Schizosaccharomyces pombe: one gene and its partner. The protein of the gene in region 1 purifies or fractionates together with the protein of each later gene. This does not show direct contact. Each region holds a gene or a part of one and is shown on either strand. Other genes may lie near its edges.

The links.
Region 2: the proteins of rpn502 (region 1) and rpt2 purify together in Schizosaccharomyces pombe (affinity purification with western blotting, with the first as the bait; one study listed by BioGRID). This does not show direct contact.

Annotation. Positions count from the first base shown.
Region 1 is NC_003424.3:4,904,446-4,914,746, forward strand, and holds rpn502 (19S proteasome regulatory subunit Rpn502), read right to left. Parts: upstream 6,431-10,301; coding exon 6,347-6,430; intron 6,300-6,346; coding exon 5,052-6,299; 3' UTR 4,922-5,051; downstream 1-4,921. Other genes in the region: yip11 (SMN complex subunit Yip11/Gem2), read right to left, coding at 1,063-1,254, 1,329-1,677, 1,783-1,949; rsm22-cox11 tandem protein cox1102, read left to right, coding at 2,533-4,794; plasma membrane malate/succinate:proton symporter Mae1, read left to right, coding at 7,852-9,168; npc2 (phosphatidylglycerol/phosphatidylinositol transfer protein), read right to left, coding at 10,019-10,301. UniProt on the Schizosaccharomyces pombe protein: Acts as a regulatory subunit of the 26S proteasome which is involved in the ATP-dependent degradation of ubiquitinated proteins. Required for proper proteasome assembly.
Region 2 is NC_003423.3:1,189,098-1,207,119, reverse strand, and holds rpt2 (19S proteasome base subcomplex ATPase subunit Rpt2), read left to right. Parts: upstream 1-7,691; 5' UTR 7,692-7,740; coding exon 7,741-7,743; exon of another isoform or gene 7,744-7,744; intron 7,745-7,878; coding exon 7,879-9,222; 3' UTR 9,223-9,342; downstream 9,343-18,022. Other genes in the region: SPOM_SPBC725.03 (pyridoxamine 5'-phosphate oxidase), read right to left, coding at 1-80; histidine-containing response regulator phosphotransferase Mpr1, read right to left, coding at 2,476-3,363; aspartate aminotransferase Maa1, read right to left, coding at 5,146-6,459; SPOM_SPBC4.06 (acid phosphatase), read right to left, coding at 9,718-11,106; ubiquitin protein ligase E3 component mlo2, read right to left, coding at 11,777-12,766; MCM complex subunit Mcm2, read left to right, coding at 13,012-13,244, 13,464-15,723; COPII-coated vesicle-associated protein Sfb3, read left to right, coding at 16,308-18,022. UniProt on the Schizosaccharomyces pombe protein: The 26S proteasome is involved in the ATP-dependent degradation of ubiquitinated proteins. The regulatory (or ATPase) complex confers ATP dependency and substrate specificity to the 26S complex.

The DNA of each region.
Region 1 (10,301 bases):
AATTTTTTAATAAATAAATATTCGTTCAAAATTTGGGAGAGCATGGTCAAAGCAAGTTGAAATGCATGCCTTTGAAATTGCGCTTTTTAAGCGACGATTGCTCCATCGTTTGACAAAACTTTGTAATTTAAGGGATGTTTAGCATCGGAATTTATTAGGGAAAATTGCTTTAGGCGTGATTCTTAGTACATGGCAACTATAGAAGAAATGAATTAACATTCAGTAGCTTTCTGGCTTTAACTGCCACTATTTCATCAAAGTCTCGACAAGTTGACGTTTAGTCGAAGGAAAGAAAGTATTCACGTAGCGAGATCAGAGTCCGCTTATCAGCAAGGAAAAAATTGAGCTCTCCATTTAGACTGCTATACTGAAGTGTGAGCAATTTTAGTGACATTTAGTTTTACAAAAGGAGCTTGATTGCTCGAACTCAAAAGATTCAATTAACCACGAAGGGGTTCTTGGCAGTGAGGTTGTAATTATTTCTTTTTTATTTTATCTTTATTTGACTTTTGTTTTTTCCCAAAGAATAATTGCAATGTTCAATTAGTTTTGAATTTGAAAAACCTCATATGGGTAAAAAATCACTCGGTCGAAAAAGACAGTAAAAATTTATTAGTTAATTTCGTAAGATGGGGCGCGAATTAAAGAAAGTTGCTAGTTATCATGTAATAACATAATTGAAACCCTCGATTCGACAAGTATGCAGACAGCAAAACGAATGCACGTACTAAACAAATAGTAAGCCATTTTTTGTAAAATGAAAATGTGAATCAATAAACAAATAACTTTGCCTATCTCAATTCAAACGTGTTTTTTTAAAATATATCTATCGATTTGTAATAGGCAAATTGTTTATTGCAGCTATCTCCAAGCTTGCTTAATCACATGTTCAAAGATGCAAAGCCCAGCATATCCGTGTAGCATATGTTTTCATTCAAAAAAGTAATAATATCCTAAAAACATATTTAAAACAAGCTATCAATTTTAATTTTTTCCCTATAAACAAACGTATGCTATATGAACATGTGTACCTAAATTTTTTTCGACCAAGATTTATAGACTCTATGTTTGAAAGAGATCTTTTTGTCCATATCGATAAACTAAGACTGCTTGAAGGGCAGATGCTGACATCTGCAGAGCAGGAAAAGAAGTATGCGTACTTCGTAAAGACTTGAGTACTGAACGTAGGGTCGATATATCTTCTCCATTCAAAAGCTCAGGAAGTTTATAACAAAAGCAAAAAATCCATTGACTCTAGAAAAATGTTAGCAAATTTTAGAATGAACAAAAATACACCAGCAAAGTAGCATGAGATCCTTGTTACCAACCTGTAAATCAATTGCGTCCTTTTCAAGCCAGCTGGACAAGCTTTCTAGGATCTCCAAAACAGTTGCCAAATCAACCACTGCTAATATGGCCCAACAAGGAGCTTTATGCTCAATATATACACGCCATTGTTGTAAATTTTTAGGTAAAATAGATGCGTCCAATGAAGAAGATTCCATATATTGCTCAAGCCTTTCCCCTTCTTTATCAATTATGTTTAGTAAGTATCGTAAAAACGGGTCAAAGCTTTTTTTGCCGGCCTCGATTTCCAATTTGCGAAGAGGAATGGTTTCTCTTGTTTCAGGCTCACGACGCGCCGCTACAAATGGAACTAGCTTGCGAGCTTCTTCTCTGAACTTGTCAGTAAAAAGCCCAATTATTGTTACAATGATTAGATTAAAGCATTCATGTTGCAAATTTCGATTTTCACAAAAATTCATATATAAATGTTCGTACCTCACAGTTGCTAAATAATCTAAACCATCAAGTGGTATATCATATTCCAAAGATTCTGAAGCACTATTGTTGTCGATTTGTGGAAAAGCGCTGCGTTGATTTGTTTCCTCATCTAATGATCCTGAAGTCTGATATTGTAAAGGATTTCTTTTTCTTTTCGAGGGCATTTTGAATTATTATTGTACAATTGCAAACTTCTCATATAAACCAAATGGAAAAGAATTACCGAATTTTCATGAAAATACTCAAGGAATGTAGGCTGTTTTTTTCCGGCAACTTTTCGTTTGTAGTTAGTTAACAAGGAATGTTTCGTAAATCGAAGATTACCCTAGTATAATAGAATGGTAAGGTTAAAGAGGTATCTGTAGAACTATCAATGTGAAGAGTCTATCTTGATCAAGTGTAATGCTAAAACTAATTTTAGCTATTTCTTGATAATTCCTTTACTATCATAAAATTTATTACTTGTTCTTATTTTCAAAGAAGTTCAAAGTTTTGCATTTTTTTGAAGTGTATAAGAAGCTAAAACTGGGAGAATATTCACTCAGACAGAATTGCCTATCCTTGAACTAATTTAATAAACATAAAACATATAGATATGTAGGAAATTGTACTATTCATTCTTCTGTCAACGCAAGTAACACCATCTGCGGCCACTTAATCAGGCACTTACTCTACACAATATACAGATCAGTGCTTTATCCCCAAATCCCATTGTTCATTGGTGAATTGGTGTTTTGAGCAGCACATATGCCCATTCTAACATGCAGATATAAAATTCTGTTTCTTTATAATTTACGGAATTGCTTTACTTTTCAAAATCAGCGATGTCTCATACCATATGGAACAACCACTACCATTAGGTGGTATAATGCAAATTTTCAAGCTGTTCAAAACAACTTTTCTGATTATAAAAACGAATTGATCTCTTCACATCGTCCAGAAGCTTCCAGTTTACTCGACTTTTTGGTAAAGGATCAAAAGAAAAGTGGTGATATTAGTTTGCATACAAAATTTAATCTATATGTGGACGATTTATTGAAAAAGAGCGAAAAAGGACAAATTAAAAAATTTATTAATGATATTAAAAAAGATTTGGCTACGGAATCTCAGCTTCCATTGTCTGCGCCATTCAAAGATGAATCTACTCGGACTATGACAGATCCCCAAGTTTTAGCTTATATTCATCAGTCTATGCCGTATCAATATGCTTCTCTATACAGCGTATTGACTGACTTGAAAATTGTAAACAGTGATGTGTCTTGCAAGTCTCAACATATACTGGATTGCGGTAAAGGTCCAGGTATTGGTGCTCTAGCTAGTTATTCAGTCTTTCCCACACCTAATTCAGTTTCAATTGTTGAGGAGAACCCATTTTTGAAAAAAATCATATATGATATTCACCATAACATTTACCCGTCAACTTCGCCGAATCCAACTAGCCCTGTTACGCTTAACCGTCTACCATTGGGTAAAAAGGATTCATACACTCTAGTTATTGCATCTAACAAGCTTCTTGAAATGAAATCGGAGAAAGAACTCTTTGATTATCTTCGTTCGCTTTGGAGTCTCGTGTCAAATGATGGTGGTCTTTTGGTGCTCTGCGAGCGAGGCACAAAGCGTGGCTTTAGTTTGATTCAAAGAGCTAGAACATTTCTATTGCAAAAAAGTAAAAATACTTCTGATAAACAATTCAATGCCCATATTGTAGCACCCTGTCCCCACGATGGTCGCTGCCCCATTGATATAGAAAATGGGGTAAGAGCAAATATTTGTTCTTTCAAACAACATTTTTTCCTATCCCCATTTTCCCGTCTATATGTCCCTCGTTCTCATCGTCGATCCTCGGATCGCTCTCATTACAGTTATGTTGTTATTCAAAAGGGTATAACTAGACCGCTTAATAATACCACACAAAGGTTCAAGAATGATGAGGATTTACTAGAAAATGTGAATGTTACATCTCCAACTCTTAAAAACTGGCCACGTATAATTCGACCTCCACTGAAGCGAGATGGACATGTCATAATTGATGTCTGTGATAGCGATGCTCGGCTTAGAAGGAATATTGTTCCTAAATCACAAGGTAAACTAGCTTATCGATTAGCTAGGAAAAGTGCTTGGGGCGACTTGTTTCCGTTAGAGGGCAAAGTTCAAAGTACTTCTCCAAGTAGTAAAATTACTAAACATTTAAAAGATGCTTCTTCTACCTATTCAATCAATCCCCCCTCATATAATAAACCCAAAGTTGAAAGAAATACAACTGCAGATCCTATTTTTGTCGGAAAACGATTCTATTCGACTAATCGTCATAAAGCTTTTTCTCGATTTGCAGACTTTAATTCACATCGTTTCCCTTGTATTTTTACTTCATTTAGCTGTTACAATTGCATCTCTGGTACCAGGAATATTTCACGACAATATTCGAGAGATAAATTCCACTATAATCAAAGGACCACTATCTATTATCTGGTTGCAATTTCCATTTTTGCGTTGGGCTTGACATATGCGGCTGTACCTTTATATCGTCTTTTCTGTTCGAAAACAGGTTATGGTGGCACTCTTAATACCGACCAAAGTCGTATGAATGCAGAAAGAATGGTTCCTCGTAAAGACAATAAAAGAATCAGAGTTACTTTCAATGGCGACGTTGCAGGAAACCTTAGCTGGAAGCTTTGGCCCCAGCAGCGTGAAATATATGTTCTTCCAGGCGAGACTGCTCTAGGGTTTTATACTGCTGAAAATACGTCCGACCATGACATAGTAGGAGTTGCAACTTATAATATAGTACCAGGTCAAGCCGCTGTTTACTTCTCAAAGGTTGCATGCTTTTGCTTTGAAGAGCAAAAGCTAGATGCTCATGAAAAAGTAGACTTGCCTGTGTTTTTCTTTATAGATCCAGAATTTGCTGATGATCCAAATATGAAGGATATTGACGATATTCTTCTAAGCTATACTTTTTTTGAGGCCAGATATGATACCAATGGCAATCTTTTAACTAAACTCAACTGAAATAAAAATTAAGGGACTACATATTGAGTGAACTACAATAATTTATTTAAAATAATTCATCAAGTTAACCTTCTAGTTACGAGACAAATAACAACGAAAATCACTACAAACTTACTAGAATAACTTTCTCCGAGGTTGCAATTCGACATTAAAACTATTGTATTCTCGTAAAAAAAGTTGAAGGCCTTTGAACCAATAGTATATTATTTAAATGACAAAGTCATGAAAGTAACGAAATGAAATAGAGACGGAACAATTTATTTGGCTACCGCCTGTTGAATAGAATTCATCATTTCTTCTTTTATAATAAGCTGTCTTACCTTTTCCAATTTTCCAAGAAGTTCAGTAATATTGGAACCCCACTCATTCAATTGCTCTTGCACATTTTGAGATTTCTTGAATGAAATGACTTGAGCTGGGCGATCAATCTTGGCATAGAAATGATGCTTTGCAATAAGGTCGCAAAGAAATTGTTCTGTTTCGGAAGGACTCATATCCAACAACACTCCTAGACGACTGCAATGAATGCGGGAATAATAGTTTGCGACTACACGAATATTGTGTTCGATGACTCGCTTACGAAGTTCAGACCAACGTTTCTCACCTTTTTCGTCATTTTCAGCAAAAACAGGATTACTCCTTAAAGCACTTCCATAGATTTCGGCAATTTTGGGCCATCTCATTAGTTCATTGACAATAAAGCACTTAACCAATTGTTGGAGTAAAGGAAGAGAATTTAGTTTATGGTCAGCATTAATTCGGTGAAGAAGATCTGCCTGCTCGTTATCATAAGGAGTAAGCAAGGCAAAGCAAACGACATTTTCTAATATTTCTTTCCATTTCTCGGGGTCCTCTTGAACCACGGCGGTGTCATAAACTGCTCGATAATATTTACAAACATCAAGATATGCATCGTCGTGCAAACCAATTCGGATTTTTTGCTCATAATACTTAAGTTTTAAAGACTGGACGTCTTCCTTTTCAAAAAACTTAACATTTATTTTCTTCGTGTAAGTAGATGCCATGTAGTAATCAGACCTCAGTAAGAATAATCTAACTTGATCCAAAATGAATGCAACTTTTTCCTTCAAATCAAAAGATCCGTAAGTCTCTACTGGTTCATTACACAAGATCTCCTGGGCAGATTTGATGTCACCTTGCTCTTCTTTAATCTGGGAAAGCAGTTGTGTAAGACGTGCCCTTTCTACTTCCACATATATCTTTCCATCAGTAATAGTACGCAATGTTTCAATCAAATTAATTTTTGTTTTTAAATCGTCAATTCCAGGAAGATAGGTCATTACATGTTGGACTAAACTTGTCATCGATTGTTTCAGTTGGCCATGCTTTTTAAAGAGACTAACCAACTGTTCGTTTAAGCCTTGGAAATCACCAGCTCGAAAGAGCAAATCAGCAATGTATATTAATACTTTCGTATTCGTGCTGGTGTCAGAAGCCTGACGAACTTGCTTCTCAAAAATCAAAAGCTTCTCGAGGTTCGCATCCTACAATTACAAGTTAGAGATTAGTCAAAATTTTGATTTTTACGTACGATGTCTATGGTATTAAGGTTATTTAAACTTTTTTGTAACTCTGCAAACTTCTCTGAGTAATCAACTTCCGGTTTCTGTTCCATTTCGATATGTGGGTTGTTGGAGAGTGTACAATTGAGACTAATATTGCGAGTTGATTTCTTATGATTACAGAGTTGTACCGCACGCTCGCAAAATACTTTAGTTGTCAGCAATACTACTCTACGCTATGATACACTACGTTGCGTATCACTATATGTCATATGTTGGAATACTAGCTAAGATCCGTTTATTGATAATCACGGGTAACGATCCGTCTATATACATAGATACCCGTTGATAACGCGAATGAGCCGTTCGGCTTCTTAGTTCGTAGATCCGAGATTTCGAACTGCTTTTAGGCAGTAAATGATAGCTTTTCCATCTAACTGACTCTAAAATCACACTCCCTTGTTACTGGACCCACATTAGCGATAGCGGATACAAAAATGCAGGGAATTGAAAGACCGAGTTCGTGGCCTATTGAGAGAAAATGGAACTTCCCTTCCCAAAAGCACCTTTGACCTGCAGAAAAATTAGGCCAATTATTATGATGCCAAGTCTGGAAAAACACCACAGGTTCGGTATATTATTATTGTCAATATTGTTATACTGAGTTAGTTTTTTTTTTTTTTTTTTTTTTTTTTTTTTTTTTTAATACCAAAGTTTCGTATGCCTATAGCATTAATCTAGATCTAGCTTGCGTCATATAAGGACCAGATTTACTCTTGACCGACTTCATAGCAGCATAATTAGCATCTCCTCGGCATAAAAGAAAAAATTTTGCTATCTCCACTCTCACAAGGTTAGCGAAGGTTTGTGCATTTGACAGCAGGTTGGTTAAATTCGTTAAGCTTCCAAGAGATATAAATATAGTGGCTCGAATTTGACTTATCCAGTCAGTCATTCATTGCTGAAGTTGTTGGGTTGGCCAGGTCCATCGGTAAGTTTTTGTTTTGTAGGATGACTGTATAGTTTGGCTTTTTGTTGTGTAGTGCCAGTTTGTTTGCGATGAGGATCAACGTTGCAATCTGTTGGTAGAAAGTTGCCCCTCGAAAATCTTGGAAATTTGGATTTGTATGCATCTTTTCTTGTTGATTTCTAAGTTGATCACTATTTGTTTGTTCTATTTTTGTTTTCTTTTACTTGTTTGCTACACAAAATAAGCTTATTTGTTGCTGCACTAGACTTTTTGTTTGATTTCTCATCCTACTTCTGTATCGGCAGTTTGCCTCATTTACTAAGACTAGCAACAGCCAGTCATTCATTTTTTACACTCTCTATCATTTTTTATTTTCATCACGATAACTAACATGTGCGATTAGACTCACAGATAAATTGCTAGCAATTGGTTGTCTCTTTCCTTCCTCCGTCTTTTCCTTTTTGTTCCTTTTTCTCCTTATATTATATTATATTATATTCATTCTTCATTTTCTCTCTTGGCCACTATTTTTTTTTTTAATTCCCCTTTATCTCTCGATTCGACATGGGTGAACTCAAGGAAATCTTGAAACAGAGGTATCATGAGTTGCTTGACTGGAATGTCAAAGCCCCTCATGTCCCTCTCAGTCAACGACTGAAGCATTTTACATGGTCTTGGTTTGCATGTACTATGGCAACTGGTGGTGTTGGTTTGATTATTGGTTCTTTCCCCTTTCGATTTTATGGTCTTAATACAATTGGCAAAATTGTTTATATTCTTCAAATCTTTTTGTTTTCTCTCTTTGGATCATGCATGCTTTTTCGCTTTATTAAATATCCTTCAACTATCAAGGATTCCTGGAACCATCATTTGGAAAAGCTTTTCATTGCTACTTGTCTTCTTTCAATATCCACGTTCATCGACATGCTTGCCATATACGCCTATCCTGATACCGGCGAGTGGATGGTGTGGGTCATTCGAATCCTTTATTACATTTACGTTGCAGTATCCTTTATATACTGCGTAATGGCTTTTTTTACAATTTTCAACAACCATGTATATACCATTGAAACCGCATCTCCTGCTTGGATTCTTCCTATTTTCCCTCCTATGATTTGTGGTGTCATTGCTGGCGCCGTCAATTCTACACAACCCGCTCATCAATTAAAAAATATGGTTATCTTTGGTATCCTCTTTCAAGGACTTGGTTTTTGGGTTTATCTTTTACTGTTTGCCGTCAATGTCTTACGGTTTTTTACTGTAGGCCTGGCAAAACCCCAAGATCGACCTGGTATGTTTATGTTTGTCGGTCCACCAGCTTTCTCAGGTTTGGCCTTAATTAATATTGCGCGTGGTGCTATGGGCAGTCGCCCTTATATTTTTGTTGGCGCCAACTCATCCGAGTATCTTGGTTTTGTTTCTACCTTTATGGCTATTTTTATTTGGGGTCTTGCTGCTTGGTGTTACTGTCTCGCCATGGTTAGCTTTTTAGCGGGCTTTTTCACTCGAGCCCCTCTCAAGTTTGCTTGTGGATGGTTTGCATTCATTTTCCCCAACGTGGGTTTTGTTAATTGTACCATTGAGATAGGTAAAATGATAGATTCCAAAGCTTTCCAAATGTTTGGACATATCATTGGGGTCATTCTTTGTATTCAGTGGATCCTCCTAATGTATTTAATGGTCCGTGCGTTTCTCGTCAATGATCTTTGCTATCCTGGCAAAGACGAAGATGCCCATCCTCCACCAAAACCAAATACAGGTGTCCTTAACCCTACCTTCCCACCTGAAAAAGCACCTGCATCTTTGGAAAAAGTCGATACACATGTCACATCTACTGGTGGTGAATCGGATCCTCCTAGTAGTGAACATGAAAGCGTTTAAGCTTGTATGCTTTTCCTTAATTTTTCTATAAATCTGTGTGCCCTGCTCTTAATACCATTATAGATTAATCATTTTGAATCATTCTGTATCTTTATTGTACTACTGGTACTAATTTTGCTTAGACATTTTTGCTCCTTCTTCTTCTTTTTGTTTAAATTATACATACCAAAATTTTGGACTTTGAATAATGGTAATTTTTGGTTGTCGTAGTGTTAAATATGTATGCGTCTTGCATATGAATCACGACGAAGGAATCAATTAAAAAATCAATCCTGTACATAATAAAATTAAGTTTATTTATTTCATTTTATCGGATTTAATCGTCTAAAATTTATATCTTGGTCATCCAAGCTTATATCTCTTTCTACTCTTATCAGCAGCACACTTTAGTTATGGTTATTTGAAAACTTGTGTATAAATTCCTGGTTATAGAGAAAATGAGTATAAGACAACAAAAAAAAGCCTAGTCGGCATGCGACATGTCTCAAACATATCTTTGGCGTATTGATGAGCATCTTACACACTCACTATACGTAACAATAAAATTAAGAGGGATTTCATGACAAAAGAATACTAGAGTGAAACCACTATGACTAAAATAAAAACTGGTAAAAGGTAATTCTAAAATATTAAATCATGTATAGAAAATAGTCCAATTAATCAAGATAGCGTTGAACGTGACCTGATACTAGATTGCACAAACGAAATAAAACAATCTTGAAGTAAAAGCAATAGCACAATAAAAGAGAAGATACCTCATTTAACTTAACAAATACATATGATGTTGACTCCGATTATTTTACATAGCGAAGTAGAGGAAAGTCAATAGGCATGATAGGAATGCCAAGCTTTAATGGTCTTGGTTGATTAATTGAAATCCGAAGTGGCTAAAGGATACAGAGGCAGATACGCATGTCAACTGTTCGCCATCAGCATTGTAGGCAGTAGCAAGCACATGGTATCTACCAGGTGGAATAGCCCAAGGGAGGGAAATGGTAGCTTGCTTGGTGATGATACCAGGTTCAACGGGACATTCAACAGCAGCAAGTTCGTAAGCCTTATCGCAAATGTCCAAGCGCTCATTCACAATTCGAACAAATCCATACTTTACCTGAATATCCACGTAACTGCCA
Region 2 (18,022 bases), on another chromosome or scaffold:
TATTCGGGATGAATAACTCCACTGGAGTCGACATTTTCTTTTAAAAGCTTCAATAACTCATTTTTCCAAGCGAGGGACATGTTGGCAAACGATGAAATGGGATGCACGTATGAATCCTATATAAGTCACTTGTTTGACTGAAACGTCATTGACTTTGCTAAGTGTGTCGTACTAAAGGTCGCTCGCTATACAGAAATGATCTCTAGATATCTGTATAAGGCACAACTCTAAAGTTCGGCTAAACTTACTAACGAAATCGTGTGTGATTTCTGAAAAAGCAAATTGTACGTTATCGTGGATTACACTAATTTTTTAAAATATTCCTCTCTTCATCTGCTCAAGAGAATTGGTAAATAGTAAGAGTAAAATCATTTAATATTAGTGCACAGAGAAAGGAAAATAAGAAAATAAAGACAATAACTAGTAACTTAAAACAAAAAAATAAAACTTTTAACTAACAAAAATGGTTTCCCCTTCTAGATCTTCAAAGAACATTGCAATCCATATTCCGTTGTTCAGTACCTTAATCTGATTATTCACAGAACAATGAGCTGCCATCTAGTTTGCAAATTGATATAGAAAAGAGTATGCATTGTCTGTGTACAGGTTTCCAACATTGAAAAAGTGAGAAATGACAGCTTGCATATCCTAACAGATTTCTCTCACACCATTAGTGAGGATGCCTAGTCAATCAAAACCTGTACTTGATTTCAGCAAACTTCGTCCTCTTATCTTTAATTAACATAAGATTAGTCATCTAAAATTTCAACTTTGATACCGAAAAAAGCGGCCAACACCTTCTCGCATACCGGGGTTGAACATCGGAATGCCGAAATGCGATATCAATGAATACATTGTAACATCAGAGGATAAAAACAATGATAAAAATAATTTACAAATTAAATTGTCTCTGTCAGGCGTATCACTTGGATTATGACCATTTGCTTCACATTGCCTAGCAAACTAAGAAGGCAAGCGAGGTTTATGCCTAGTTTTTGCACATCTGTAGCTTCCGCATATTCAATTCATCCCGCATCATTCTAGAAAAACAAGGCGACGAAAAGCTGCACAACGGGTATGAAAATCCTAATAACGCTTCGCCTCCAAAGGAACGTCTATGAATCCGCAGGATCCTACTTGCCGCGCTAATTAACGAGGTATACTTGATTTCGCTGTTTCACACAAATCAATATTTCAATGTTCTCTTGTCTTTGCGGAATCGAACAAACTATACTTCGATTAACAAAAAAAAGAAGTTCGTTAATTTCATTTCATCGCAAACGTGTTTTCTTAGTTTTTATTCTCAAAAACGAACAATCTACAACGAAGAATTGTTTTCGATCTTTAACCCACAACAACAAAAACATTTAGTAAGTGACGCTAAAAGTCAGTTCGATCACACTTGAAAGTACACATATTAAACGCTGAATGAATCAAATCATAAATAATTATTGTATGTAATGACCATTTTAAGGTGTTTTCATTAATCCTTTAAATAATCTCTCTAAAGCGAGATAATGACAAAAGCAATCATAATTACAAAAAGCAAGAACAATATACTTAAAATTTTTGCAAGGTTTGTCAATCAATATTTGAAGTCCACCATAATTCACAACTCAGTAATGTACAAGGACGTGAAGGTTATCACCAAAATCATAAAAAATCCATCAACATCTCAAGTTGAATAATAAAAAAGGTAAACAAAGGAGAATCAGGTACATGTAATGATTAACATTAGGTTAAAGAAAATTTGAAAACACAGTTTAAAAACTTAGGAAAAACATAAAAAAACAACAACAAAGCAAATCAAACTCGAAAAAAAAAAAAATCTGTCGCCAATCGTGGGGATAAATGAGTGTTGAAGAGTAATTTGAATTAACCAAATTCAGCATCTTAAACGACCGGTTGTAAACATATTATCTAAGGTTTAAAGTCCTTCAACATTAGGGGATTGGGCTTGTGATAAACAATCACAATAGACAATTTCGTAAATAAACTAGATAAATAAAGGTATAAATACATGCCACGACCGTAAGAACGTAACAAACAAGAATTTTTTTTTTCGAGAAAGCAGCTTATTAAATACATAAAGTTTGATATCGAGAGCTTCAAAAATGTTCCGTAAAAAAAAACCGCAGGAAAACCCTGCCTGTTGCATATCTCAATATCAAAAAGGTAGACGAGGTAAAGCAAAAAATAGACTGTTTTTGATAGTTTTGGATAGGGGATACTCAACTAAATTGAGGACTTGTATTACTTCACTCTATTTGCTTTGATAGAGGGAAGCACTTCAAAGTACGGGAAAAGTGTGGGCGTCATAATAAATATAACTATTCAAACCGTAAAAGCTGGAAATTCATCACTAACTTCAAGTTATCGTAAATTTGGGAAAACTAGAAGACTTTGATAGACAACTGGTATAAATGTCATAAAAAGGGGGAAAGAAAGGCTAGGTACTTTGACATGTTGAGACTTTTATGTAGAAGAATTTTTTTCATAAAAGTCAAGTAAGTAAGCTCGAGCATCCTTATAAAAGTCGTTCACAACCGACAGAGATTTGCTAATCAAATCCAATGCAATTTCCTCGCTCGGTAATTTCATTACACCATCACGACTGCGTAGAGATCCGTAATTTTGGATACGTTCACAAACCTTTCTCATTTTTGTAAGGCCCAATACAGCTGAAGATCCTTTAAGGAAATGCCCCAACGAGGAAAGCTTCTTCAAATCCTTAGCCTCTAGGGCCTTTTGGAGGTCGGCAATGGTAGTCTCTGCCTGCTCAAAATAATTCCAAACAATACTCTTACTAAATTCATGCTCATCATCATCATCCATCTCAAGCAACTGGTCAAAAACGGAATGATCAATGAGCTGTTTGTCTTGGATGAGTTCATCCTCAAATGACATATCGTAAGCAATTACTGAAAGTTCATCCGACAAGACACCAGCCCCAACCAAAGCTTTGACTGAAGCAGCGGGAAGATTTTTGGCATTCGCATGGTCATCGCTAATAGAATTGGAGATGTCAACGGTCTCCTCCGTGCCTTCAGGTGCGCCAGCCGTCTCATTAGCAGCCAATTGTTGATTGTTTTCACTTTTGCTCGAAGATATACGTGACGTTAGAGCAACATAAGCAGGATTTGAGGTCAGTGGTAAAGAAGTGTCATTCGCTCCAGAACCATTCATAACCCGATAAGCATGGGGGATCGCTGACCCTGAAGGAGAGCGTGCACGTTCAGCTATGCCAGAATCGTGAAGAGTCTTAGCAAGACTAGCGTTACGCGCCTGTCCATTTCTTCGGGCGACACGATTTTCGAAGTTTCGGTCGTATTTCATATACATGTTATCACGATATACACTCATTTTTTAGAAAATAATTAAAAGAAAATCCAAAAAAAAAAGAAAAGGGTTTAAAGTAAGAGCGAATGGAGAAGCTCAGCTAAATTTTATCAGCAGTATTACTTTGCAAACAGTAAAATGTAGCAATCGATACAGAATATTGTATCAGATTTAAGACTTTCCTTTTTTAACAACGATTTGAAATTAAAGCGAGGAAATGTGAGTTATTGAAAGAGGCGTCGACAACACAAACAAATTATAAAAATAATGTGTGGTATGCCAGCAAAATGAAATAATCAACAGTTTCACTAACCTGTAGTACAGTACAAGGGCTATTACCAAAAGAAGAAAATGGCTTTACCACACAACCCACAAATACTAAATAGGATTTGTGGATAAATCTCCTTCAACAACGATTCTAATGGAAAAGAGTCAATACGGTTTTGGAGCTTTTTTTGCGTGTTCGAAACTTTGATGCCAAGTTTTAGACGCCACACAAACTTGCCTTCAGCTTCTGCTAAGTTCTAAAATTATCAAGCTCTACTAAAAAGGCGATATTATTGTTTTCGTATCAATTCAAAAGACAGAAAACCAATCCTCACAAGATTGTTAAGTGCTCTCTCTATAATTAAGTTCAAATGCAACAAGGGTAAGGCAGAGAGTAGAGACTATGGTTTTGCCTGTGCTTATGTCTGATTTTTAGATATTCTAATGTAGTAAATGGGAGACGGAAAGTAGGTAAATGCCGCGAAAGAATTGTTTGCAAAACTCACACTTGGGAGTGACGCCATGCAACGTAATAAAGCAGTCAAATGTACCGATACACAACCACCCAAAACGATAAAGTATATTAATATAATGACGCTACGTCTCACTATACCCCGAATTTCAATGATTCCTCCATATCAGTCAGTGTAGAAAAAAAAGACGAACTGGAGATGGAAGAACAGTTTCCCACCATCTTTGGCATTTTCGGCCATTTCCTAATAAGCGCAGCAATTCCTGATGGCTGTAGCATTGCACATTGGGAGGGAAGAATGATACTCTTTTTGCAGATATTTATTTCGATATCACTACATAGGGCCTATCCTAGTCATTGGAAAGGTGCCAATTTCCAGCGATATTCTCCTATTTTTAGAAATAATTAAAAGCTTTGCACAAATTTCATTCCTACCTCACTTATTTCGTACATCTCAGAAGTTTGATGAACTTGGGAAATCCCAACATATGACAAATGCAATGGGAAAGATAATTGATAGTTTTCCAACGAAAAAGTGGGATTTAATATGTATATGAGAGAGGATAGTAAAATGTGCCAAATTTTGGGTTAACTAGAGGCAATCTAAAGTATGAAGTAAGTGAACTACTAGACAAACATCTACAGAAACAAAGTATGGAAATAAATGAAGATAGACAAACGAAAAGCATACTATTTCGAAAACGAATCAATATTTAGTCAATTTTTAGATCCAAAATCCATTCATTTAAAAACAGACCATGCCATCTATTTGGAAGCAAAACTGTAGTTATTCACCTCAAAGCGAAAGTATAAGGAAAAAAAAATAAGCCGAGACAATTAGGTTACTAAATACGTCTTCTCATGGTTTCGGAGAAATGAAAAGGGAAAAAAAATTAAATGTATACAAATATATGTATATGTATATGTGTGTTTGAGTCTGTCTATATGTATGTATAATAAAATAAAAACAGAAAGAAGAACAAAAAAGATTCAGAACAAAGAATCAATCAAAAATCCATCTGTCTATATAATAAACCAAAATCTTTTCACTTCAATTTCACCACCGACTAATTCGAAGTAACGGCATTGATAGCTTCGGCAAAGTATCTTACATTGGAAGTGTTGAGACCGGAGATGCTAATACGACCATTCTTAGTGAGGTAAATGTGATACTGTTTAGCCAAAACATCAACTTGCTGGGGATTTAAACCAGTATAACAAAACATACCAATTTGGTCAGTGATATGCTTCCAGCTGTGTTTATTCTTAAGGTCCTTTTCAAGGATGTTGCGAAGAGCCTTACGCATACTCTTAAGACGTTCGGACATGCCTACAACTTCACCAGCCCACTGTTCACGAAGTGCAGGGTTGCTCAATATATGGTTGGCAATTCTGGCCCCATTGACGGGAGGGTTGGAATACAAAGCACGAATGAGAATCTTAGTTTGGCTTTCGATACGAGCGGCTTCCTCAGCATCGTTGGCTAAAATGCTAAAGCAGCCAGCACGTTCACCATATAGACCCATGTTTTTAGCAAAGGATTGGCAGAGTAACATGGGGACATTGCTGGAGGCGAACAGACGAGTGGCATAAGCATCACGAGCAAAATCACCACTGGCAAATCCTTGGTAAGCCATGTCTAAAAGAGCAAAATGGTTTTTCTTTTGCATTGTTTTGAGGATATCATCCCACTGAGCTTTCGTAGGATCTACACCAGTTGGATTGTGAGCACAAGCATGCAATAATATAATAGAGCCATCAGGAGCTGAAGTTAAATCGGACAACATGCCTTTAATGTCCAACCCACGAGTAGCAGGATCATAATACTTGTAGGACTTAACGGTCAAGCCAGCTCGAGAAAATACATTCTTGTGATTTCCCCAAGTAGGGTCAGATACGTAAATAGTCTTTGATGGATAAAATGAAGCAAGGAAATTAGCTGCTATACACAAGGCACCGGTACCACTAATGGATTGAGCAGAAACCAGCCTATCCTTTATAGACTCGTAAACATCGCCATAAGCCAATTTTGTTGCTTGCACACGGAAACTGGGAATTCCTGTGATGGGTGCATATTCTTTGTCGAGTTTCTGACTCAACAGCTCAGTTTCTGCCTGACGAACACTGGGCAGAACATAAGGCTTTCCGGCATCATCACGATATGTACCAGCACCCAAGTTCATTTTCTTAACATCTCCATCCTTTTTATAGGCCTCTGTAATACCAAAGATGGGATCCGGTGGTCCCATAGGTACATCTGCCCAAACCTTGAATCCACGCTTGCTCTGACTTGCCAAGCATTTTACTCCATGGTAGGAAACGTTGGTTTTTAACGATGCAAATGTATTTGGATGCAAACAACGCAAATTCCTGGCCAACATCGTCGAAATCAATATTCTTCCCAAAGTTATTTCTGGGAGATTGGTTAAAGGCTCTTCACAGGCTCGCAATCAATCGAATCCTGCTAATATATATACGTTCTTATCATGAGAAAACCACGTGGTTCAATGTATCTGCTTACCGATCGATAACATAATCCGAAGCTGTAAGATGTCAAAATTAGATAACGACGTTTATTGTTTCTTTCGTTATCGTTCACTTGTAGAGCTGTTCCGAAAAAACATTAAAGTAGCATAGCGAAAGCTATAGTTTTGTAATCGCAACGTAGTTTAGCAACTAGTAAACAGTAACTCGTTAATTACCAATATTTATCGTAAGTAATTAAGGTAGTTAATAAATTAACATTAACAACAATAAAAATTGTAAAATAGCTGTTAGACTTGTAGAAAATATTTTTCAATAACAAGAAGTCATTCAATAATCATAACTTGAATAAGTCAATTTAGACCTTCGAACACTGTTTAAGTCATCAGACTGTCTTTAGTAGCTGCTTCTATAGCTTTCACTGTTGTTGCTGTAAAAGGTTGCAGAAGTAAGTTATAGAACAATAATTCTATTCATATGGAGGACTTTTATTAAGAAAAAAAACGAAATGAAGCCTACAGCACCCCGGATTCCCATGTTGTCTCCAACCATAGTACTAACGAGGCCCTCAGACGCTTAACTGCAGTGATCGGACGGGAACTGGTGTTTTCGCCTAGGTATGGCCGTAGACACCTAGTAAAATACTTTATAGCTTATATAATTTTATGCTATGTAATTTTGAGAGGAATGTGTGTTGTTTGAATTGGGATAAATATTCTTTAGCAATGATTCCTAAGTAAAAGATAGATGCAAGGTTAAATCACTTTAGCAAAGTCTATGTTCTAACAAGAAACACGACGAATGCACGAAAAGAGATCCGTACTCCTTTTAATAAAAATCGATGGCAATTGTTTAACCTTTTTTAAACCATTATTACTTCTACAACACTTTATATTGAGGAAAATTTACTTAAAGTGAGGTCTCTTGAAATGGAATGGTTGATTCACGCGTTGGTAACAGTAGATACATTTTCGTGTTCGAAATGTAAACAACTCAAGAAAATTAGGATGTGTTTTTACCATACACTATTCAAAAATTACAATATCGCAATACTATGTTACGCAATATGTTAGAGTGCCTTGAGCCACCGGTTGCTTGCATAGTGTCGTGGTGGAAAACGAGTGAAGCTAGATATTACCAATACCAGATCACTTTCACTGAGAGTATCGATCCAAAAAATGGTAAGTATTTGAGTATTTTGAGGCTGAAAACAAGACTGAATTAAATGTAATTTTTTCATCTATCGCTGAATAGTCTTGTTTTCACTCTATCACATTCTTTTCATGTTTTAATATTTAATCCTAACTCTCCTATAGGGACAAGCACAATCTGGGAATTTTTCTAATTTCGGCGATGGTGCCAACGGCGACAATAAAAAAGACCAAAAGAAAGATAAGCCCAAATACGAACCTCCAGTTCCCACTCGAACTGGTCGTCGTAAGAAGAAGGCTCAAAGTGGTCCTGATGCATCGGCAAAACTACCTACTGTTATCCCAACGACTCGTTGTCGTTTAAGGTTGTTAAAAATGCAAAGAATCCACGATCATTTGCTTATGGAAGAAGAGTATGTGCAAAACCAGGAACGTCTTAAGCCACAGGATGAACGAACTCAGGAAGAACGCAATCGTGTAGATGAAATTCGTGGTACTCCAATGTCTGTAGGAACTTTAGAGGAAATTATAGACGACGATCATGCCATCGTTTCCACAGCTGGACCAGAGTACTATGTTTCCATCATGTCATTTGTCGATAAAGACATGTTAGAGCCTGGTTGCAGTGTACTTCTCCATCACAAAGCCATGAGTATAGTAGGCTTACTTCTTGATGATACCGATCCAATGATTAATGTTATGAAACTCGACAAAGCACCTACAGAAAGTTATGCCGATATTGGTGGTCTTGAATCTCAAATTCAAGAGATCAAAGAGGCTGTAGAGCTTCCTCTTACCCATCCTGAACTCTATGAGGAAATGGGCATAAAACCCCCTAAAGGTGTCATTTTATATGGTGCTCCCGGTACTGGTAAAACTTTACTAGCGAAAGCTGTTGCTAATCAAACTTCTGCTACGTTCTTGCGTGTCGTTGGTTCTGAACTTATTCAAAAATATTTAGGTGATGGTCCCCGTCTTGTGAGACAATTATTTAATGCTGCCGAAGAACATTCGCCCTCTATTGTTTTTATTGATGAAATTGATGCTATAGGTACAAAGCGTTACGATGCCCAGTCGGGTGCTGAACGAGAAATTCAACGTACTATGCTTGAGTTACTCAATCAGTTGGATGGATTCGATACGAGTCAGCGTGATATTAAGGTTATTATGGCTACTAACCGTATCAGCGATCTTGATCCGGCTCTTATTCGTCCAGGTCGTATTGACCGCAAAATTCTTTTCGAGAATCCTGATGAAGCTACGAAACGTAAAATTTTTACCATTCACACTTCCAAGATGAATTTGGGCGAGGATGTTAATTTAGAAGAGTTAATTCAATGCAAAGATGATTTATCTGGTGCAGAAATTAAAGCAATCGTTTCTGAAGCTGGTTTGCTTGCTCTGCGTGAACGCCGAATGCGAGTTGTTATGGACGACTTTCGGCAAGCTCGTGAAAAGGTTTTAAAAACGAAGGACGAAGGTGGACCTGCTGGTGGTCTTTATATCTAAGTCCAACTTTGGTTATGACTAGTTTTACTCGCATAATGGCAATACTTCTTTTTATCCATACTTGCCATTGACTAAATAATTTCCAGTTCCTGTTTAGTTTCTACGAATATCTGTATTTCCATCTTCACTATTATTATTTAATCCTGTAGAGAAGTATTGTATGCATGATTATTAAGTTATCATTAAGTTTTATAGAGTAACTATAGATGTCCATAAAATTTATTATATCATCATACGTATTTTATTAACTTCGTGCATTCCTTGTCGGTTTAAATTTTGGATTTTTTAAAAAAAAGAGCGTAAAATAAGCAAAGCAAACAAAACGTGTCCATAGAAAATACCTCTCCGATACCTCTTTTTTTTTATTTTCTTCAATCGATCGCATTCACAATTTCAGTGACACAGTTTTCTGATTATATTAAGAAATTTAATTCTAACGTGTGCAACAAAACGCCTTTATAATACACAAAAGACGTAAACTAATCAATCAAATAATTACTTTTTCACCGGTTTACACATAGTGTGATATTCAACAGGCTTTAATGCACGGACTGTATCCTTAAATATAGAAAGAGGACAGATCGTATCATTGCCTTTGTATCCTTGACCTCGACATGCACCCATCACTACAGGGGTTGAATTGTAGGTAATTCGGACATACCAATCAGACATATCTCTAGCAGAATTAGACGCAGCAACGATAGCACTATTGCTGGCATCTGTAGACTCATCGGAAAACAACTTCAAATCTGTCGTCTTATTATCGCCGCTTTGATTTTGGGAATCGGATTTGCTTGATGTATCTTCGAATAGTTCCATTTCAAGATGTGATGTAAAGGGTGGCCAGCGATAGTCAAATGCGTCCAAAGATGCTAAAATGGCAGCTATTGTAACATCATGTGCGCCATAGAGGGCCAAACGATGATAGGGTGAACCATTCTTTTCAGCGACCACGAAGTTCTCCATTCTCATGCTTAAATCATTTAACAAGCTTCCAGCACCTAATTGACGCATCAACTTAGAAACCTTATAACCGCCAAACCATTCTTCTACAACAGCAGTTTCGGCATCGCGTAACCATTGTTCATCTCTTAGGTTGGGATTGAAGTCGACATGGCTACCAATGGCAGCGTTAATAGTATCAAGCAAACCACTGAGACGAGGATGGCTTGAAACAACTCTAACAGGCTGACCATTCATGAATTGACTCATCATTTCAGAGGCACGGCCTGCAAGTAAGGGATCGTAAAGCTTAGCAGCTCGTTCTGCAAATTCTTCATATAGTTGCACAAGTCGAGGACAGTTGTTTTCATTAGGAAGTAGGTTTTCGTCTGACCAATTTCTCGTAAAAATGACAGGTAAACCCATCTTACGCTTTGACTCAGGATACAATCCGGAAAAAACATGTTCTAAAGACTCCAAGGCTCGCACCATTGGAGTCGCACGCATATAAACATCAGCGTAGTTATTCAATTCATCAGGTAAGAATTTCAATTGTTTGACATAACGTTCTCGAAGATACTCACCAAGTGTTCTGGTAGTAACACGCCCAAAATCAGTCAATTCACCATGAATGCAAACACCACTTGGGGAATTGTCTGAAGTTGGTGCTGCAAGAGACGTGTCAACTGGTGACTCAACCTTCCTTTCAAAACCCAACACAGACCATTCCTTTTCCCCTTTAATTTGCGCAAAAAACCTCCTTGCATTATTACAAAGCTTCCAATCCTTAGGGATACCGGCGGAACCAAGTCTTTCCTTCACGGGAGCACGTTCACCATGTCGAAATATGACTTGTAAATATTTCAGTTGCAGCTGTTTTGGATAATCGACTCCGGGAACTGAATCCGGGAATTTAACAGAAGCTGAAGACATTTGAGACATGGCGGCTAGGAAGTGGTTGATGATGCTGGATAAGAGCTGCTGTCAACTAAGGTCTCAATGCTTGAACATCATCGCAAAGCTCATATAAAATATGAATTACTGAATATTAACGAAACGACACTATTTGAAAATTAGTTTTGTTTATGAAAAGAAAACAATAAAATATAAAGTTAATTCAATCTTAAAAAACTGTTAGGAAAAAATTAAAATGAAAGTCATTATGAGATATAACAAAAAAAAAATACCCAGACAGGGTTTCTCTTTAGCTTTCTCAATCAAAAATAAAAGATAAAAGACGCAACCACCAAAACTATAGATAGGTTTAAAAATTTTAATGAGTGCAGTTAAAATAGGAGAGACAAGAAAGCTAGAAGTTCAATATATTAATTATTGTTCAAATATACATACAAATTTGTCATCATCATTAAAATCATGTATACCAACAAGCCCCAGTAAGCCTCTCAAATTAACCATCTCTGTTAAGAAAATCAATTAAACCATTTTTGATAGAGAAATGATTACGTTTAACCATAAGCACATAGAAAATATCTCTGGTTTCACCAGTATAAACAGCGTTTCACAAAAAGCATCACCAGATTAAGTATAACCTACATGTTTTGACGTTAAATTATACGCCAAAAAAGAAGGGAATTCAAAAAAGTTATTAACGCTACCGTAAATTTTTACTGATTCGAGATCGCTCCAAGAAAAAATTTGATATATCTTCCTTGGTGACAACCCTATTTTCACGAGCAAATGGAGTGAGGAAGTCCGTTAGCTCAGATTTTAAGCGATTATACGCATAAACGCTTTCGTTAGCTTGTACACGAGGAAGTCTGTCCAAAATACGAAGGACATCATTCATTGTGCTAGATATGACTTGCTCAATCATTTCTCCAGATTCACTGGGATCCTCATTCATCTCACTGATTCCATCCTCAGAATCCTCAGGAGGTTCGTAAATAGGTTCTTCTGCCACCAACATTGGCATCTCCAAATTACGCAAACTGATGCAAGATTCACAAGGGCACAAATTTTCCCTAAAGTTTTCTGAAAGAAATAGAGGCGCTCGTTCTGTACCAGCTATGCTTTCATGCTTCTGGTTTAAAAGATGATCGCGGTATTTTTCTGAACATTCTGAACACACCAACCATTCAAAAGTCTCAGCATCTGGGATTGCAATTCCTTTATTAGTTTTCTGCAGACACTTTTCGTGAAACCAATCTTCGCAAAGGATGCATTGAAACATAGTTCCTTCCTCTGTCTCTGGATTATACACCGTATCACATATGCAAAATCGCCCTTCGAAATTATGATTATAATCATTTTCTGAGCCACATTCATCAACGGATTTCCGTAAATTACAAGGTATGGAGTGGGTTCTTGTGGTGCCACAATCACATCGAAAATGTCGTTTATTGAATAGGTCCACAAGATCATGGTCAGCATGGCAGCTAATACTGCAGCTATAGCAAACAGCATTTAAGCTTCCGCTAGCTTTTTGACATGTCAAACAAGCGTATAAAGGTTGCTTCAAATAGCCCATCGAATAAGTGCACGTGTCAAAGCTGTAAGGCAAAACTTCTCGTGCCTCCCTTTCAAGCTCCCTTTGCTGTTCAACATATTGCTTAACCGTTAATTCATGAGCCGTTTCCTCCATAAGTTATTAAATGCAACTAAACGTTGGCAAATAGACGGCGTAAACAATTGCGAAGAATGTCTTTTGAATAATTCAAAACACTAACTCATTACGCTCCTCTATTTCATTTACAGGTATCACTACATTTTCCAATACAATTTAACAATATACTGTAGCATTTCTTATTCTTTCATCCTGCAATACTCTAGCTATTCAATGCATTAAAATAGTTAGAAACAACATCTTTAAAGTATTTGAGTCCAAAGATGGATTCTTTTCGGAAAAGGGGTCGCCGCGATTCTGAAAGTTTACCTTTTGAATCAGAAAATTCTTCTCTCGGTGCTACACCTCTTTCTTTACCTCCTTCTTCACCTCCTCCAGAATTCTCTGATGAAGCTGCAGAAGCTCTCGTGGAGGAGGATATTGAGGATCTGGACGGAGAAGCTTTAGATGTAGAGGATGAAGAAGGTGAAGATTTGTTCGGAGAAGGAATGGAACGGTAAGTTTTATAGCTATGCTTGAGACGTGTCTTGTCAATGTTGTGTATACTAAGTGTTGCCATCAATATATAAATTACATACTATTTCTTCTCCTTCTTGTAAATAAATATATTTATTGGATTCCTAGGTTGCGGTTATATTGACAGAACAAATCTTGATTTTCAAAAGAGTAGTTTCACATTTCGCGTCAAATAAGGTACTTTTTTCTAACTGTATAGTGATTATCAACAAAATTTGGAGCTAGATCGTTATGACATTGAAGAACTAGATGACGATAACGATCTTGAAGAATTAGATATCGGGGCCCGAAGAGCTGTTGATGCCAGGTTGAGACGACGTGATATTGAGCTCGATGCTGCTGCAGGTAGAACAAAACCTGCTGCATTTTTACAAGATGAAGATGATGATTTGGACTCCAATCTTGGCACAGGCTTCACTCGTCATCGACATCGAATTTACGACGAATATTCACCTAATGTTGGCGCATTGGACGAATCTGGTGAACTTCCTCTTGAATCAATTGCCGACGTAAAGGCCGATAGTATTGCCGAATGGGTTACTCTTGATCCTGTTCGGCGTACAATTGCTCGAGAATTCAAAAATTTCCTTCTTGAATATACAGATGAAAATGGCACCTCTGTATACGGTAACCGTATTCGCACATTGGGTGAGGTTAATGCTGAGTCGTTGATGGTTAATTATGCCCATCTTGGTGAATCTAAACCCATTTTGGCTTATTTCTTGGCCAATGCGCCTGCACCTATTTTTCGCATATTTGATCGTGTTGCTTTGGAAGCCACTCTTTTGCATTATCCAGACTATGAAAGAATACACTCTGATATTCATGTTCGTATCACTAATCTTCCTACTTGTTTTACTTTACGCGATCTACGACAATCCCATCTTAATTGCCTTGTACGGGTATCTGGTGTCGTAACTAGGCGCACTGGGCTTTTTCCACAATTAAAATACATTCGGTTTACATGTACCAAATGTGGTGCTACTTTGGGTCCATTTTTTCAAGACTCTAGCGTTGAAGTAAAAATTTCTTTCTGTCACAACTGTTCCAGCCGTGGTCCGTTTGTAATCAACTCTGAACGGACTGTATATAATAACTATCAAAGGATCACTTTACAAGAATCACCTGGCACCGTCCCCTCAGGTAGACTGCCTCGACACCGTGAAGTTATTCTTTTAGCGGACTTGGTTGATGTTGCCAAACCAGGCGAAGAGATTGATGTTACTGGCATATACCGCAATAACTTCGATGCTAGTCTGAATACCAAAAACGGGTTTCCTGTCTTCGCTACAATTATAGAAGCAAATCACATATCGCAACTTGACGGCAGTGGTAATACTGATGATGATTTCTCTTTAAGTCGGCTTACTGATGATGAGGAAAGGGAAATTCGGGCATTAGCAAAGTCGCCTGATATTCACAACAGAATTATTGCATCGATGGCGCCTTCTATTTATGGACATCGCTCTATCAAAACTGCTATTGCTGCTGCTTTATTCGGTGGTGTCCCCAAAAATATTAACGGTAAGCATAAAATTAGAGGTGATATCAATGTTTTATTGTTGGGAGATCCAGGAACCGCCAAATCTCAATTTCTTAAGTATGTTGAAAAAACGGCACATAGGGCTGTCTTCGCCACAGGTCAGGGTGCCAGTGCTGTTGGTCTAACTGCATCCGTCCGTAAAGACCCCATTACGAATGAATGGACTTTGGAAGGGGGTGCTTTGGTTTTAGCAGATAAAGGTGTTTGTTTGATTGACGAGTTCGATAAAATGAATGATCAGGATCGTACTTCTATTCACGAAGCCATGGAACAACAAAGTATTTCTATTTCTAAGGCGGGTATTGTGACTACCTTGCAGGCGAGGTGCACTATTATTGCTGCCGCTAATCCCATCGGTGGACGTTATAACACTACAATTCCTTTTAATCAAAATGTTGAGCTGACCGAACCTATTTTATCTCGTTTTGACATCCTTCAGGTCGTCAAAGACACGGTTAATCCTGAAATTGATGAACAGCTAGCTAATTTTGTTGTATCAAGTCATATTCGATCTCATCCTGCATTTGATCCGAATATGGATGTCTTGAAGAAAGTCCCTACTGAGACTGGTATTGATGCCAAACCCATTCCCCAAGATCTTCTTCGTAAATATATCCATTTCGCTCGTGAAAAAGTTTTTCCTCGATTACAGCAAATGGATGAAGAAAAGATTTCGAGACTTTATAGCGATATGAGACGCGAGTCACTGGCTACTGGAAGTTATCCTATTACTGTGCGTCATCTGGAGTCTGCTATCCGTTTAAGTGAAGCATTTGCAAAAATGCAGCTCAGTGAGTTTGTGCGCCCTTCACATATAGACAAAGCCATTCAAGTGATTATTGATTCCTTTGTGAATGCCCAAAAAATGAGTGTTAAACGAAGTTTGTCAAGAACATTTGCTAAATATCTTATTTAATTTTTTGACACAATCAGTTTATGGAGTCCAGTGATTTTGATTTCCCCGTTCTTTGACCCTCCTTTTGTTACTGCATCTGTTGCATATATCTATCCTTTAATAATTTGCAATCAAAATTTGCTTTACATTTTTATACCTATCTTTACATTCATTCTTTCTTAGTTTTCAAAATGTCAATCTAAATTATTTAGGTTAATAACACTTGTTTTGAATATCATTATTGACTATTCGCTATAGATACTAGGTGTATAGATACTTTCTCCGCTGTATCAATATTATTAGCTGTTTCATTAAAGAGCCACTGCCCATGTGAAATGACATTTTTTGAAACAGCTGAGGTTTTTTACATATAGAGCTAAATTGTCCATTTCCAAATTTAAAGGGAAGTCAACTTTTGACAATCGGAAATGCATCCAGTTCATATCTGATGTTCCTGAAGAATCTCAAATTTCACACTTTATTATCTAAAATTATTTATATCGTGTTACTCTTTCAAATCAGTCTTTTTATTTGGTATATATTTTGCCCTACCCTTACCTACTTATATTCGTACATCCACCAAGTAAACTTGACACAAAAACAAAATGGCCTATCCCGGGCAGTTTGGAAATTACGGTAATCCTGAGACTTATAGGCAAAATGTTGCTGGCAATATTGCTTCATATGGGGGCCCTGAAATTGACACTCAGTTAGCTGCTCAAATGAACGCACAAATGTATATACAGCAAGGTAGTGCAATGGCTCCACAACCCCGACGCGCTAGAAGACATAAAGATGCCCATGCATATGATATGTCATTGACAGATGCTGAACCAGCTTTGGCTCCTGTCATGTCGCCTGCTATCCCGCCTTCCATGAATTATCCTACGCCAAGTACACCCTCAGTACTTCCAGAATCTTTTTCTAATGATACAAATCTCCTCGATCCTGCAGCATTACCTTCGGCTCCTGAAGTTCGCTATGAAGATCAGCAATTGTTTAAAAACCAAATATTCAATACCATGGAAAAGGGTTCTCCACCTATGTCCACTACAGATTTTGTTGGGTATGAACAAGGAAATTCATCTTCCAAATTCGTTCAGTTTACCAGTTACGCGATTCCAGCTACCAATGATGTTTGCAATGCTTCCGGAATCCCCTTGGGAATGATTGTTCAACCGTTCGCAGAGTTACGTCCTGATGAAGCACCCGTACCCGTTGTAGATAACACAAATTCAAATCCCCCACGTTGCAAAAAATGTCGTGGCTACATCAATCCTTTTATCCAATTCACGATGGCAAGTAGTAAATGGACTTGCAATCTTTGCGGTTCAGAAAATAGTTTTAATGATGATGGTTTTAATCCTTTAGTCGGTAGTCAGCATGATGGAGTGGAGTCTCGTCCAGAATTAAATGTTGGCACTATTGATTTTAAAGTGGGGAAGGACTATTGGATAAAGGAGGATCCGCCAAAGCCGGCTCGCTTTGTTTTTATGATTGATGTTTCCTATGAAGCTTCCTCCAAAGGACTTCCCAAGGTTGCAGCTGAAGCTATTCGGAATATTCTCTACGGACCGGTACCTCTTGATCCTAATGTCAAAATTGCTATTGTCTGCTTTGATCGAAGCGTTAATTTCTTCAATTTATCTCCTAATTTAGAGCAACCCCATATGTTAGCTGCTTCTGATTTAGAGAATCCCTTTGTTCCATTTTCTTCCGGTCTTTTTGTTGATCCCATTGCTTCAAAAGTTGTCATTGAGAGATTGCTGGACAGTTTCCCTGCAATTTTTCAAGATGTTAAAATTCCCGAACCAGTCGTTGGCAATGCACTGGAAGTAGTAAAACTCCTTCTTAAGGAAACAGGTGGAAAAGCTTTTGTTTTTGTTAGTGCTCTTCCTACGATGGGATTGGGGAAATTAAGGCATCGTGAAGATCAAAGATTATATGGGACTTCTGATGAAAAGAATCTTTGGAACACCCAAGACAAGTGGTATACATCTCTTGCCGATGAATATGTTACTGCTGGTATAGGTGTTGATATTTTCTTTACTGCTACTGCTTATGTTGATGTTGCTACTGTTGGAAGTGTTGCGACCTTAAGTGGTGGGCAGATTTACCACTATAGTAATTTTGTTGCTGATCGTGATGGATCTCGACTTAAACAAGATTTATTTAGAAGTGTTACCAGAGAGCAAGGCTATCGAGTGATGTTGAAGACACGATGCTCAAATGGTCTGCGTGTCTCCAAATATTTAGGCAACTTCTTGCAACGAACTCCACAAGATATCGAATTTGGCAGTCTTGATGCTGATAAAAGTGT